Linked DNA regions of Macaca mulatta. The protein of the gene in region 2 interacts with the protein of the main gene of each other region in a biochemical or structural test. Links are inferred from orthologs where the notes say so. Each region holds a gene or a part of one and is shown on either strand. Other genes may lie near its edges.

Region 1 (4,079 bases), on a different chromosome or scaffold from region 2:
TGCCACCCCTTTCCTAGTACAGTGTCCACAGGGGGCTGTCCTGTCCCATCTCCCAACTCTGCACCCCCTTTCGGGGGGATTGCCCTTCCTCCCTGAGATTTTCAGCACCATCTCAGCCTGGAACCTTCCAGGGATCCCTGGACCTTCTGAGTCCTACCATCTCCCAAGTTCACTCCCTGCTTCCCTCCCCACTCCTCCTAATTCTTTTCCATCTCATGTGCGTCTCAGCCACACTCTGACCACGGCATACACAGACTGTGTGATGAACCTACTCAGGTTGGAGCACTGCTTCTCACATCCCTCCTGCGTCCCCTGTGCCACCAAGTACAAAGCCACCCACACACACCCACTGATGGATTCAAACAAGCGTCGTCATCTTTAGAAGACTTAGGTTTAGAAGTCTTTTTTTTGAGACAGCGTCTTGCTCTGTCGCCCAGGCTGGAGTGCAGTGGTGCGATCTCAGCTCTCTGCAACCTCCGCCTCCCCAGTTCAAAGCGATTCTCCTGCCTCAGCCACCTAAGTAGCTGGGACTACAGGCATGCACCACCACGTCAGGCTAATTTTTTGTGTGTATTTTTAGTAGAGATCGTGTTTCACCACTTTGGCCAGGCTGGTCTCGAACTCCTGACCTCAGGTGATCCACCCGCCTTGGCCTCCCAAAGTGCTGGGATTACAGGCGTGAGCCACTGCGCCCGGCCAGAAGTCATTTTTAAAAATCACATAAAGGATGAGCAGATATACGAAATATGGTCTATCTACACGACAGAATATTATTCATCCTGAAAAAGGAAGGAGATTCGGTCACAGGTGACAACACAGACGAACCTTGAGGACATGAGGCTCAGAGAAATAAGCCAGGCACGGGAAGGACACAGGTTGTATGAGCCCCCTTATACGGGGTCCGGAAAATCATCAGATTTCTAGAGACAGAATGGAGAAGTGTGACTGCCAGGGACTGAGGAGGGAGCCAGGAAGATGTTCTTTAATGGGGGACACAGTTTCAGTTTGGGAAGAGCTGGACGGTGGTGACCACTGCAAGACAATGCAAATGGGCTTAACGCCAGTCCACTGTGCGCTTCAAAGCGGTTCAGTGAGCTACTTTTATGTCATGTGTATTTCACCACGATTTTTAAAAAAATCACATCAAGGACCATTCATGCATTAACTGAAGACTGCTGGGGCCAGGGGAGCCACGGCCTGCCTATCTGATACCCAGGCAAGTAACATCTACACGGGTCCAAGCAGTCCCTGGCCTTGGCTATGCTTCAGAGTCCCGGTCACTGTTACTGTCCTCAGGGCAGCCCCGGCCGGAGGCAGGAGTATCATCTCTTTACAGATGCCTCGCTGGGGAAAGAACGGGAGGTTCCGCGAAAGCACAGAAATGGACACTTAATGGATTCCTGTCCTCATATTAAGCACAAAAACGTACACTGACGGAGAAATTCCTGTCCTCATATTAATTCCTGGCTCCTGGGATTTCTGGCACATATTATGCACATGCTGAGCACTTAATAAACGTGGAATGAACGATCGACTGTTTCTCTCCCCTTTCTGGCAGGTTGGTAACCTTATACCTTCAAGACGAGTCATAAACGTCAGGAGAAACATTTTTGAACTACAAATCAAAGGCTTTGAGAGCAGGCGGGACAGACAGAGGTCAGTTTGGTCCAAGACGGAGTTTGTGTGGGCAGCCCTGAAGCTCACAGCTGAGACCACTGTCCATGAACCTGGGTCCCTGTGACAGCCTCCAGCGGTGCTCAGAGCCCCCGAGGGACAGAAACACCCTCTCTGCCCCTATCTTCAGAGGGGGCTCAGCAGAAGGCCTGGTGGCCCCATCGGGCCTGGAGCGGCCTCCTGGGGGTGGGTGGCTTTCAGGCCTGAGGCCGCTGGGGACTGGTCCGGGTTTCAGTGGGGAACCTGGGCCCCCTCCTGTGCCCCCACCACTCCCTTTCTAGCAGAGTCCCTGCGGGAGGCTGTCCTCTCCCATCTCCCAGCTCCATACCCTCTTTTGGTGGGGCTGCCCTTCCTCCCTGAGCCAGGCCCCACCTTCCCAGGAGCCTCTGAGTCAGGCTGGGCTGTGGTCTGCAAACTTCCGGGCCCTTCAGGTGTCAGAAAAGTTTCTCTTCCTCCCTCTGGGCAGGTGCACCAAGGGGCTGCAGCCTCCTGACCCCCGATTTTTTCCTGTCCAGTAGGAGGAGGTGGGGGTTTTGCTGGGCAGAGATACTCAGAGAGGCTCAGAGAGACACGGAGGAGAGGTACACGAGGTGGAAAGTGAGGGAGAAAAAGGGTTGGAAGGGAAAAGGAGGAGATAAGAGTGAGAGAGAGAAGTGGGGCAGGGGGACAGAGATGGAAGGATACCCCCATCATCGCGGGGCCAGCAGGAGCCACTCCCATCCCCCCCACGCCCCACTACCATGTCATCTCACTAATGCCCCCCATCTCCTCCCCATGTCCTCCTCTCTTTCCCCAGCTCCCCGCCTCGTGCTCCCCCTCCACCAGCTCCCCCATCCCGGCTGCGCCTACCTGGGGCGCTCATGCTCCGCCAGCTGCGCGGGGCGCCTCCTCCACGCAGGCCTCCGGCTTCCTCCAGGCGACCGGGCCCTCCGTCCCCGCGGGCCCGGACCCGTCCTCCGAGGGGCGCTGCCCGCCCAGGGGCTGCAGGGCCAGGAGGGGGCTGCGGGCGGCGCGGGCAGGAGTCCGAAGGCCAGAGGAGGCAGGAGAGAAAAAAGGAGAGAAAGTATGTCATAGGCTAGGAGGGGCGGGGGAGGGAAATGCAAAACCCGACAGGAAATGAGACTAAAAAATGCGAAAGGTTAGAAAAAGATAAGGAAGAGAGGGAGGGGGCGGAGTCGGTGCTTCGGGAGGAGGGCGGTAAGGAGGTGGGGGTGGGAGTGGGGACAGGGCCTGGGGTGGGGGTGCTTGGGGACAGATCAGGGAGCCGGGGATGGGGAGACCAAGGCGAGTCTCGGGGTCCAGGCCACCTGCATCAGTCGGGGTGAGGCTGGACCAGCCTGGTTGTCAGTCCCCACCCAGCTGTGACCCCAGGCAGAGTCCAGGTGGGGCCTTGGAAGGGGCTATCCCCTTTCTAGGTTCTTCAGGCCTTTGGCTCCCCAGGTCTAGCCGAATTTCTCAAGAAATTCCAGAGCCTGTCACTGCAATGTGTGTGTGCGCGGGAGAACGGGGTGTCCCACATAAAATTCTGCAGCCTCCTACACCCCAAGCCTCTTTCCTCCCTCAGCCCCTGTTCTGGAAGCTTCCTGGGCATGCTGGCTGGTCAGCACCCCTGCAAAGGCCTTCCTCACCCCAAAAGCTTTGGGGTCCAAGATATCCATCATCAGCTTGCACCCTCAACGTTCTGGTGAACTATGCTTGTGAGAGAAATTGTGATTTGGATGTCATCATTTTACTTTATTTTTATTTTTTGAGACGGAGTCTTGCTGTGTCACCCAGGCTGGAATGCAGTGGTGCGATCTCAGCTCACTGCAAGCTCCACCTCCTGGGTTCAAGCAATTCTCCCACCTCAGCCTCCCAAGTAGCTGGGACTACAGGCGTGCGCCACCAAACCTATCTAATGTTTGTATTTTTAGTAGAAATGGGGTTTCAACATGATGGCCTGGCTGGCCTCGAACTCCTGACCTCAAGTGATCTGCCCACCTCAGCCTCCCAAAGTGCTGGGACTACAGGTGTGAGCCACCGTGTCCGGCTGGATGTCAGCATTTTGATAATTTACCCCAAATGGCCAGCGTCGTGGGTGGGATGGTCCCAAGGGTTTACAGGGATTGTGGACTCAAAAATCTGGATGAAAGAAAATGTGATACACACAAACACACACACACACACACACACACACACACACACACACACACACACACACACATACACACACCATGGAATACTACTCAGCCATGAAAAAGAACGAAATAAAGTCTTTTGCAGTAACTTGCACTTGGATGGAACTGGAGGCCATTATCTAAAGTGAAGTAACTCAGGAGTGGAAAACCAAATACTCCATGTTCTTACTTAAAAGCGAGAGCTAAGCTATGGGTAGGCAAAGGCAGGCAGAGTGGGATCATGGACAT
Region 2 (3,342 bases):
ATGATTAAACCAAGAATGTGAAAATCCTAACAAAGTAGTATAATTAGTAATGTTAATTAGAAATGAATGTTGGCAAACTGAGATCTGAGGTGGCTCATACTCCATCAAGTGTTCCTCCGGTCTCAAAAAAAAGGCTGTTTAAGTGCCTATAAGACAATGGAGTGGAAAAGAGATTTTTTATTTTTATTTTTCTATATTGGCAGTTTTCCCATCAGTGATTGGTTTTATTACTGAACAGGAACAGCTTAATGCTGAAAATTTGCTGCTGAATGACTGGCAAAGACTATTAGACTGAAAATTTCAAGCACAAATGCACTGAGGAAAAAATGTTCTTCCCAGTAAGAGTCTATTCTCAAATAGAGATATATTCCCTATTAAAATCAGTCTTAAAATAGAAAATATTTTAAAAAATAGTGAAAGACCTTAAAAAGGAAAAAAAGAAATTACTAAAAAGTACATGATCAACATGATTTACAATTAGCTATCTTAAAAGCATGCTTTTTTAATTCTAAAAATCCTATTTACAAAGTATGCTTACATCGCATTTTAAAAGACATGTATCAAATGTAAACAAATCATTACAGCCATTTTATAAAAAGATTCATATTTTTTAAAACATTTTTTGTCATCATTAAAAATTAAAAGGCAATAAAGTGTCATTGTCGTGAAACAGTACGTGATCTTAAGGGAAGAAACATCTCACTAGAGTTTCCACAAGTTCCTTCTTCTTCTAACTGCAGGTCTGGCGGCAAAGGAGGAGCCCCTGGGTCCCCAGGTCTGGGAAGTGTAGTTGAAGAGAAGATGGTATTTTCAGTTCTGCCTACTTCTAGAACAGGCAAATTCAGCGAAGAATTAGTGGAAAAAAAGGGCGTCGTGCTGGATTCTCCTTCTGGATGGTACATGACAGTGGATGCCCTCAGTTTTTCAGAGAAATTACTCTCATTTGAATTTGATCTGGAGAGGTTGTTCGTGGCTCCATCTGGAAAAGGTTCACAGCTGCTACATTTTAGTCCTACAATAAAATTATTCATATGTAAATGAAAAAGTAACTAAAAAAAATGGAGTCACTGTCCATCTTGTGACTTGTTAAAGATTACAAGCTAGTTACCCCACAATCAAAATTTAAATAGCAATTTATAATTTCTGTCATAATCTATTTCAAATCTAATTTGCTTTTCTCAACAACTATGAAGTATACTATTATTTGCATTTTCTAGATAAGAAAATAGTCTCATGGAAGTTAAACGACATGTTATAATTCTTATTTAAGGTACAGTGTACATATAAACTTAACCATCTAAAATTTTTTATAAAATAAGAAATAGCTTTCACAATAAATATTCTTTAGTATTCTGGTACAAAAAATATTAGCCAATAAAAACAAAATGTAAACAGGGCAGATGCTAAAATTCTATCTGTTGATCAATGGCAATGGCTAGTTCTTGAATAATAGGATATTAGAACTAAAAGGAATTTCAGAGGTCACCTAGGATAGTCTCTTATTATTAAAAATGAGAAAAAAGGGCGGAGCATGGTGGCTCACAGTTGTAATCCCAGCACTTTGGGAGGCCGAGGTGGGCGGAACATGAGGTCAGGAGTTCGAGATCAGCCTGGCCAACACGGCGAAACCCCGTCTCTACTAAAAATACAAAAATTAGCCAGGCGTGTTGGCAGGTGCCTGTAATCCCAGCTACTCTGGAGGCTGAAACAGGAGAATCGCTTGAACCTGGGAGGTGGAGGTTGCAGTGAGCCTAGATCGTGCCATTGCACTCCAGCCTGGGCAACAAGAGCAAGACGGTCTTTAAAAAAAAAATAGAAAAAAAAAAGGCACAGGACAGTCAAGTCATGTCCAACATTCCAGGACTACTTTGTGGGAAATTGAGAACTACAATTCAATAGATAATGTCCTGTTTCTCAACCTCATAGTTTACTCAAATGACAGTGGTTGTTCCCAACAGCTATGGTATGAATGTATCTGCCAAAATTTCACATGTTGGAAACTTGGTTGCCACTGCAGCAGTGTTAGGAGCTGAGGCCTTTGGGAGGCAACAGGGTCATGAGGGCTCTGCCCTGGACTAATGCCATTATCATGGGAATGGGTTACTTATTTTGGGAGTTCGACTCCTTTTTCTTCCCTTTCACACTCTTGCCCTCCCTCACTCTTCCATCTTCTGCCCTTCCACCATGGATGACCCTTGCCAGATGCTGGCACCATGGACTTGGACTTAACCAGCCTCCAGAACTGTAAAAAATGAATACATTTCTTTTCTTTATGAGTTACCCAGTCTCAGGTATTGCTACAGCAGAAAACAACTTAGATACCATCAAAGAATTTTATCACATCCAAGGGGTGTAGTTAACCATTATCCACAGGATTGAAAGAATAAACACAAATACAATTTACCCTTCTGTTAGGCTTAGCAAATATTCAACCTACAGGCACAGAAACCCTGAGTTGACAATTTTTAGGTAAAACCTGCATAGTCTATAAAGGACACTTACATGTCACTTCTTCCACTAGTTTTTCAACCTTACAGTCAGCATGTCTATTCCATGCTATAGAAACTACTTTCTTAGATATGGCTCAAAAGGGAAAACTTGTAATGTGTCCCAGCAAGGGGACACTTACAGACTATGAGTTCCTTAAGGGCAGAACCCTAAATTATTCTTTTCTGTATCCCTAATGCCTAGAACAGCTGTAGAACGTCACATGCACATTTATGTGTTCTGGAGAGAGAGAGAGAGACAGCAAGGAACAGAGAAAGGAGGGGGTTGGGGATTTAAATTGTGTAGGCAATTCCACACAATATTCCAATCAATGAGTGTATATTCTGGAGTGAGAGTCAAATGGGACAGGTGAATTTGCTATTCTCTTAATGTTTCCATGCTTTCACATCCTGCCAGACTAGTTTCAAGTCACGAATATTTTATGCAACGTGATTCCTATAAACAAGTGCCAATTATTTCATCTTGTGATCGATCAACTGGTGATCACAAGAAAAACTAGCAGAGTTGGACTTTTAAAATACTTTGCCTAAATACTGTTCTTTATGTGCGATGTACAGTATTTTCAGAGGTTACTCTTGAATAATTTTATATTCTGCTGACTTTAGAAACAAATCCTTATGTATACAGGGATTTCATAATAGTTACGTTTTCCATAAATGGTATTAAACGAATAGAAATGCAGTATATTGACAGATATTCCACTTTTTCAATGTAGTAAGGTCATATAAGGTAAAATAAATGCAAATTGAATATAATTTTGAAGTTTAAACTCTTTGAAAGCCAAATGATCATTTCTGTTTTTTTTTGTTTTGCTTTTTTGAGACAGGGTCTTGC
Region 3 (4,193 bases), on a different chromosome or scaffold from region 2:
GCTCCTAGGGATGGGGGCTGGGCAGAGGACCCAGCACCACTGCCCGCCCCCACCACCGCCTTCCCCGTCACTCACCGATGATCATGGAGAAGACACGGGCCGGCTCCTTGCCCGTGACCTTCTTGTACAGCTGTGGGTAATAGAGTTCCAGGCTCTCGAGGAAGGCCACGTAGCCCTTGTGGCCGGTCCGCTGCAGGATGTCCAAGAGCACGCCTGCGGGCCAGAGGGGCCTAACTGGGGGCGGGGCACAGGCGAGGCAGAGGGCTGGGGTGGGTGGGCCCGGGGGCAGGGACAGGTGGAGGCTGGGATGCAGATGAGGTGTGCTGTGGTTTGGGTCGTGGATGAGGCACCCTGTGGGTCTTGGTACTAGGCTGGGGACAAAGTGCTGTCCACCCATCCCTTGGCTGTCTCAGGAGCCCCCGCTGTGGTGGGAGTCCCACTGCCCCTCTTGGCAGCACCGAGCTGGCAGGAGAGGCTGGGGGATAGGGTGGCCATGTGCCAGGGTTGAGGTTGGGCCTCACTGGGAGGCCAGGGGCAAAGCCAGGCGGGGCTCTCCTGGGGTCGAGGGTCAGGGTGGCAGAGCGTGCAGCCACCTCCAAGCGGGCTCCTTGGTTGGGTTTGGGACCTGGGGCCTGCGGGGCAGCACTGACCCACTTTCCGTTTGCGGATGACCAAGTTGGGGTCACTGAGCACCTGCTCCTCATCGTCGGGGTTCAGGACCTTGCACTGCCGCAGGTAGGGCGTGATGCGCGAGGGGTCGATGACCGACGTGAGCATCACCCGGAAGCCCTCCAGGACGCTCCAGCACTCATCATCGTTCTCGTAGTCCGACATGGCCTCGCAGGCAGGCTGGGGGGTGTGGGGCAGCCGCTGAGAGTGACGCCGGCTCCTGCCCCCACCCAGGCCCGGCTCCCGCTCCTTCTCAGACGCTGGGCCAGGGCTCTCGTCAGGGCTGTCGAGGGGGTCAGCCCAGGGGCATCCAGGAGAGGTACCCAGCTCCATGTCCCATCCCCATGCTGGATCCCCCAGGGAGGCGGCAGAGACACAGTGACCCGCTCCCCGCCAGACCAGCCGAGGGCCCCTCCACAGCCTTTCCCAGCCCCTGCTCCTGCCCCTTGGCCATCCGTGTCACCCAGATATGCAGCGGGGGAGACACAGATGGGGTCTGAGAGAGGAACTGCCTCCACGGCATGACTCGCCTCTGGCCTCCGCCTCCTGGACACTCCCACCACGCCCTGGAGCCTACAGGGGCAGCCACCTCCATGGGTGGAGGAGCTGTGGGCACCTGCCTGGCACTACGGCCAGCCCAAGCTGGGTGAGAGCAGGTTGGCCAATGACCCTCCCACTAGGGCAGCAGCTGGGGGAGCCGGTTCTGGCGGAACTTCCCCATTTCCCTGACCGACGCCTGCTCACATCCCGCGCTGTGCCCTCCCTCCTCCATGGCCGGCTGTTGATGATGCAAGAGTGGCCACCCAGCCCTGCCCCAGCTGCCAGGGTCGCTGCACTGGCCGGGAAGAGCTGCCCACAGGAGCGTGCCTCTGTCACTCCCCGCCGGCCCCGCAAGCTGGGAGGGGCTGTCGGTGTTGCCCTTGGCTGGCCAGGAGTGCTGCTGTGCTGTTTTCTCCAGGTTCTTAGGTGACGGGCACCCGTCAATCTCTGGACTCTTCTCCTGCCCCCGATGAGGCCCGACCCCCATCCCACTGGCTGAAACAAGAGAACTACCCATGTTGGGACCAGCCCAGCCACTGCTGTCCCTTTCTGCCAGCACGGTGGAAGCCTCAGCCGCTGAAAGCCACTCCCTCTGGGACTGGGGCAAGGCTGGGAACAGCCACATGGTCCTGCCTCCCACGCAGGTCCCCGGTCCTCAGCCTCCAGCCCCACTGGGAAATGCTGGTTTCCTGCCTAAAGGAGCTGGGTCACTACTCCTGGAGACACTTGGTCTTTTGAAGTGTTTGGTCTTGGTCTTTTGAAGAATTTCTCAACTTCCCACTGTACTTTGTCACCCCATTCAGGACAGTTTTGACAGACAAGGGGCTGAATAGAAACACCGGCCACACAGCGGACAGTCCTGGGAACACTGGGCCCCTTTCCTGCCTCCCCAGCCTGAAATGCAGGGTCCCACCTGCCACCGTAATGCCACTGAAATGAACATGTCTCCGCCCAGTGGCCATGAAAGGGATGGGGCAGCGCGGCGGAGGCTGCCTGGCTGCCTGTGGGAAGCCTCATGCTGCTCTGCGGGGATCAGCGCCAGGATTCTGAACGAAGCCGGCGCCGACCTTCTTGGTCACTTTTCAGAAAAGTACCAGACCCACCCACCTGAGGGTCTTCCAAGGAGCCACCTGCACGGCAGACGCACCAGGAGCCTGGGACGCGGAGCCTCGGGGAGATGCTGCCTGGGGCTGCAGGGAGGGAGGAGCGTGCCGGACGCCTGTGCACTTCCTGATGGCTTAACTCCACAGTCCCGCCAGTCCTCCCACAGGGGGACAGTCCCTGGTGGCCTGCCTTCTGATTCGTGCAGCCCAGGAGGCCCCGAGAGGCAGACGGAAGTGGAAGTCCTCTGCCCTCCACAGGAAAACTGCTCTCAGCCCTCCCAGCCTGGCCGGGGGCCAGGGGTCCTGAGAATGCCCCAGAGGCCCAGCCCGGGCACCTGGCAAGTAGAAGAGACAGCAGAGACCCCCAGGAGGCTGGACGAGGCCAGACCGCACCCAGCCGCTTTGACCTGGTCATAGGTTTCTGGAGGCTTCTTCAGGAGGGCATGCTCTGCCCTGTGCGGACACCCTTGCCCTCGCCGGCATCTCAGGACAGCGGGGCAGGGCATGTGCAGGGGGCACACAGCCACACAGCATGCCCAGCACACGCCTTGGTCATGAAAGGGCTGCAGCCCACCTTATGGAGCCCAGGAGGCCACTGCAGCCTGCCAGGGGCCATGGCACCGGCCACCACCCAGCTGCACACGGGGGAGAAGCGTCCCTTTCAGAAGTGTCGCTCGGTATCATTATCCTTGTCACGAGGCATCCTTGCTCTTCTCCAGGATGCACGTGAGGACTGAGGCCACTCCCAGGGTCCCCCAAACCAGCTTCAGAAGCACCGGTGATGGCAGGGCACAGCCCGCCCCCCATCCACAGACAACGGGCAGCAGGGTCTGCCCTGAACTATGCACTTCAGCGTGGGGCTGCTGGAGCCTCATCCCTGCAGGCTGGGGAGCCCCCAGGCCCCGCCTCACCGGTAAAGCTGGTCGAACCGAGTTGCCACCCAACAGCTTCGAGAAGGGGGCTGCCAGGCTGGAAGGCCAGGAAGCTGGTGCGGAGCTCGCCTAACCGTTCCCAGCCCCCGGCCCTCAGGCCTGACATCACGCAGTGAGGAGTGGAGTTAGGGGTCCTCTGGGGCTCTTGGGAATGCCACACTCCAGGCTGGGCCCCTCACCAGCAGCATGAGCGAGTGTGCAGGCAGGAACGCCGTCCTGGGCCCTGCTGGGGAGTGGGCCCGAGCTGGCACCAGGCCCTCATGACCCAGTGATTCCCCAGCTTGTAAAACGAGGGACCCCAGTGATTTCCCTGTGGTGTCCGTCCTTAGGAATTAACACACATACCATGTTCTCTAACCATGTCGGAAGCTAAAAATCAGTAACAGGTATCTGGAAAATCCCTAAATATTTGGAAATTAAATAATATACCACTAAATAACCCACAGGTCAGAGTGGCCACCAGGAGACTAGGCACCAGTTGCTAGAGAACCAGGCACAGCAACACATGCTCAGGAGCGCGGCCGGCCATGGGACCGTCCTGTCTGCCGGGTGCCGAGGGCTGAGGCCCCACGGTGCTTCCAGTGAGGGAGTGAAACCCAGAGAGCAAAGGGCCTGGGGGCGCTGCTGCCACAGAGACGAAGGAAAGGGAGTGAGGGGACAGACGGAGAAGATGGGGGCTGGTCTTATGCCAAGAAAGGCCCACGCAAAAGGACAGTGAAAGTTGTGGGGGCTGCCATCGTGTCTGGGTAGCCAGGTCACCTGTTCCAGGGAACCCCCTGGGTCAGCTGGGGCGGTGCGAGGGCTGGCAGCCATCTGGGGAGGGTGCCGGCTCAGCATGAAGAACAAAGCCACAGGTGCTTTCCATGAAATGGGCGAAAGCCTGCTTCTCTGCTGGGAGGGCAGCCAGGGTACAGGAGGCCTCGAGGACCCCAGTGCTGGGCCCCCAGCA
Region 4 (3,958 bases), on a different chromosome or scaffold from region 2:
GCCTGCCTCTCCTTGCCCACGGATGTATTATAGATTTGAACTTTTTAGAGGGAACAAAGGAAACAACAGACAACAAGACAGTGGGCAACAGTGTCCTCCCCTAACCCCACTGGGTGACAGCAAGGATAGGGGTTCCTTAGGATGCGAGTCCTTCCTGCCTCCCCCTCAATCATCCTGCAACCCACGCCAGGTCAGTCATGTTAAACTTTCCATCTCTTCTTCTCTGGCTCATTGGCTCTTTGCCACCTAAAAGACCAAGTCTAAAAGCCTCTGCCTCACTTCAGAGCCCTCTGTAATCTGGCCACATCCCACCTACTTCCAGGCTGCCCTCTGGGAAGTCTCCACTTGACTACAACATGGCTTTATCTCTACACAGCTGCAGTCAGTAATGGGTGACTGTCAAAGGTTAGAAAAATAAGGAAAAAATCAAAGTGCTGTCAAGTTCCCCCATCTCTCACTGTGGGTCATGCCAAGGGCTGTGTTCATATCCTGCTGTGAGTGCCACTCCCAGGACATGCCTATCTCCAGGGAGAGCCACTCTGGCAGGCCAAGCCCACGGCAAGTTTCCTTTTATTTTATTTATCTGTCTATTTCTTCTGAGACAGGATTATCTTTTTTCATGAGACTGAGTCTTGCTCTGTCGCCTAGGCTGGCATGCAGTGGCGCAATCATAGCTCCCTGTAGCCTCAACCTCCCAGGCTCAAGCCATCCTCCCAGTCCAGCCTCCGAAATAGTGGGGACTACAAGCGCACACTACCACACCTGGCTAATTTTTCGTTTTTTATTTTTTGAGGAGATAGGGCCTTGGTATGTTGCCCAGGCTGGTCTCAAACTCCTGGCCTCAAGCTATCCTCCTGTCTCAGCTTCCCAAAGTGGAAAGCTTTTGTTTTTTTTTTAAGAGGCACAAGGGCCTGGAGGAACAGTAAGAGTAGCACCTGAAGTGTGTCTGGGAATAGCCACTGAAAGGGAATAAACGCCTGGGCTCCCACCCTCACTATTGTGACCCTTCCAAAGTAAAGAGGTGCACTCGCAGAGTAACCGACCTCGTTTTCAATTAAAATAAAAATTTTTTTGGCTGGGCGCAGTGGCTCACACCTGTAATCCCAGCACTTTGGGAGGCTGAGGTGGGTGATCATTTGAGGTCAGGAGTTCGAGACCAGCCTGGCTGGTATGGCGAAACCCTGCCTCTACCAAAAATACAAAAGTTAGCTGGGCATGGGGGCGGGCACCTATAATCCCAGCTACTCGGGAGGCTGAGGCAGGAGAATCGCTTGGACCCAGGAGGCGGAGGCTGCAGTGAGTCGAGATCACGCCACTGCACTCCAGCCTGGGCAATAGAGCGAGACTCTGTCTCAAAAAAAAAATATATTTTGTTCAGAGCTTCCAGTTATCATGTTATATGGCCTTATTCAGTCTTAGAGATGGAGAGGTGGCCTGCGGCTAGGTCTGTGTGGACTGGGACCCAGTCTCTGTTGCTACAGCTGTGTGAGGCCCAACCTCTCTGGGCTGTGATATCCACCCGTGATGTGGGAACCATACCTGTGCACTCATGTGTGAGCTGTTGGAAATCGAATGAGGTAACATGTACTAGCAGGCTATGTGGTACTATCATAGGGAACAACGGGGAGGAGGGCACCCAACTGCCCCTGAGACCAGAAGGGGCTGCCATCCACCCACCAGAAGTGAACACTCTAGGGAACAGGAGGTGGTGTGGTGAGAAGGTGGAGAGCAGAGCCCCACAGATGAGTCCAGGTGGGTCAGGTGGGTTGGGTGGGTCGGATGGGTTGGGGCAGGTCTGCAGCCCTGGCCCAGCTCTCTGATCATGAATCCCACTCCCTCTCTTCTATGCTCCCTGCCCCCATGTGTGGTGCTGTCCCATCTCTGGAATAAGATCCCTCCTAATAAGGAGAGCAGTGGCGCTGGCACCAAAGGCCTAACGTGGCCCTAACACGCCCAGGGAGGAAGCATTTGTTTTGGAACTTGCCCAGTCCTTCCCCACGCCCAAACCTGTGATGAGTTTTCCTTGTCATTGGAATAATCCCAGCAGAGTGTGCAGCACGCCCTTCCCCCTTCCCTGGTGTTCTCGGAAGTGCCTCTGACTTACACACACACCAGCCCCAGGTGGGCAGGGAACAGAGGATCTGAGAGGCAAAGCAGCCCTGCTGGAGTTGCTGGGGGTCCCCAAGCTTCCTGATGATGACAGAAGTGAAAGGTCTTCCCATCCCCCTTCCTGGTGTCCCACCTGCCCAGACAGGCTGTATGCCTGGCAGCCGCGGGAGCCTCACCTTCCGGAGATCTCCTCCTTGGCAATACTCCATGGCCAGCAGGGGCAAGTCATTGGGCGCCAAGTTCTGCATCCCCTCAGGGACATCTCGGGCTGCCACCACATTGGGGTGCGTCAGCCTAGGAAGGAGGAAAACCGATGAGAGCAGAGCCAGACTCCTGCCCAGACCCATCCCTATCACCCCCATCAGGTCTCAGCAACAAAGGCCCAGGATAACCCAGGGCTTCGAAACAGAGGAAGACAGAGCCCAGTACGGGTGGCCAACTGCAATGCCCCGGTCAGTGGCGTGCACCCAGCCCCACCCGCAGCACCAGAACTCAGACCCTGAGGGCACACTCCGTGTAACTTCCATTTTCTGTGCGTGCTACATCCCAAGTCCTCATCGTGCTGCCAAACTGCTCCTTTGAAGACCTTCCAATCTCATGCCCTCCACATGGGGGGGATGTGTCACACATGCAAGCAGGCAAACAAGGTGGTGCCTGCTCTTTTTGTTCTCGTATTTTTTTTCTTTTCTCTGTTTATTTTTCGGCAGGTTGATTCACCCACACACATCACCCCAAGGTGGACACACAGAGAGGGATCTGAGAAGGAACTCATGTGTAACCAGATAGAACCATGATGTAACCAAATGGCACTTCCTCTTTTTAAGAGGCTGGCAGAGGAGCCCCTGCTTGGTGTCCTCCTCGCTGGCTCTTTCGGAGCCCACCTCACTAGCTAGGGGGTCAGCAGCCACCGGGCAGATGGACGGCCCAGTCTCCACACTAGAGGAATAAATGTCAGCGGCAGCATGACAGCAGAGAACGGTCATGTACCACCTTGGAACTGGAAATACAGGAGGAAAGAAGGCTTTTTTTTTGCTGACAAAGGAAAAGTCACTGTGATAACTGTGTTAACTTATTTAATATAATGAAACTGATGAAAAGTCCCCGACAAGGCCCAGTGTGGACTTTAGCTGCTCTTCCTCTGGCATCTTTAGAAGCAGCAGAGTCACCGTGGAGACTGTCGGGCTGGCGCCCTGATGGAGGGGCAGAGATTTAAGACTCTCCTCTTCTTTTTTTTTTTTTTTTTAAATTAGACGGAGTCTCGCTCTGTCGCCCAGGCTGGGGTGCAGTGGCGCGATCCTGGCTCACTGCAAGCTCCGCCTCCCGGGTTCACATCATTCTCCTGCCTCAGCCACCCAAGTAGCTGAGACTACAGGCACCCACTACCAAGCCTGGCTAATTTTTGGTATTTTTAGTAGAGATGGGGTTTCATTGTGTTAGCCAGGATGGTCTCAATCTCCTTACCTCGTGATCCACCTGCCTCAGCCTCCCAAAGTGCTGGGATTACAGGCGTGAGCCACCGTGCCCAGCAAGACTCTCCTTTCTAGACACACGGGGGGCTGCTGCTCCAGCTTTCCCTTGGGGTGCACAAGGCCCTCACCTTCTCATGATCTGGATCTCCAGGCACCACCGCTCTCGATTCCGGGGGCTGAGCTCCTGCCGGCACTGCTTGATGGCAATCTGCTCACCTGTTTCCTACAGAAACAGCACAGTGGGGACCAGCAGAGCGAGCTGCAGGCCAAATCCCACCCTGTCTGCTGCATGGGAGGGATCTCCAGTCCTCAGGTGTCACCTGCAATCACCTCCTGGTGCTCCGAGGTCACATGTACACACCGATCGACAGCCACATAGC

What was found.
Region 1: the proteins of BCL10 (region 2) and CARD11 form a complex in vitro, tested with the Homo sapiens proteins (2 studies listed by BioGRID, with this or other methods). The link is inferred for Macaca mulatta from reciprocal best matches to the Homo sapiens genes BCL10 and CARD11.
Region 3: the proteins of BCL10 (region 2) and CARD9 form a complex in vitro, tested with the Homo sapiens proteins (2 studies listed by BioGRID). The link is inferred for Macaca mulatta from reciprocal best matches to the Homo sapiens genes BCL10 and CARD9.
Region 4: the proteins of BCL10 (region 2) and IKBKB form a complex in vitro, tested with the Homo sapiens proteins (2 studies listed by BioGRID, with this or other methods). The link is inferred for Macaca mulatta from reciprocal best matches to the Homo sapiens genes BCL10 and IKBKB.

The regions. Positions count from the first base shown.
Region 1 is NC_133408.1:37,050,946-37,055,024, forward strand, and holds the start of CARD11 (caspase recruitment domain-containing protein 11), read right to left. Parts: upstream 2,801-4,079; 5' UTR 2,524-2,800; intron 1-2,523. UniProt on the Homo sapiens protein: Adapter protein that plays a key role in adaptive immune response by transducing the activation of NF-kappa-B downstream of T-cell receptor (TCR) and B-cell receptor (BCR) engagement.
Region 2 is NC_133406.1:155,296,063-155,299,404, reverse strand, and holds the end of BCL10 (B-cell lymphoma/leukemia 10), read right to left. Parts: intron 1,013-3,342; coding exon 657-1,012; 3' UTR 501-656; downstream 1-500. UniProt on the Homo sapiens protein: Plays a key role in both adaptive and innate immune signaling by bridging CARD domain-containing proteins to immune activation.
Region 3 is NC_133420.1:6,136,314-6,140,506, reverse strand, and holds the start of CARD9 (caspase recruitment domain-containing protein 9), read right to left. Parts: upstream 2,801-4,193; 5' UTR 2,728-2,800; coding exon 2,317-2,727; intron 1,805-2,316; exon of another isoform or gene 1,723-1,804; intron 1,151-1,722; exon of another isoform or gene 1,003-1,150; coding exon of another isoform or gene 850-1,002; coding exon 651-849; intron 214-650; coding exon 76-213; intron 1-75. UniProt on the Homo sapiens protein: Adapter protein that plays a key role in innate immune response against fungi by forming signaling complexes downstream of C-type lectin receptors.
Region 4 is NC_133413.1:44,370,707-44,374,664, reverse strand, and holds the start of IKBKB (inhibitor of nuclear factor kappa-B kinase subunit beta), read right to left. Parts: upstream 2,801-3,958; 5' UTR 2,637-2,800; coding exon 2,608-2,636; intron 2,404-2,607; coding exon 2,286-2,403; intron 1-2,285.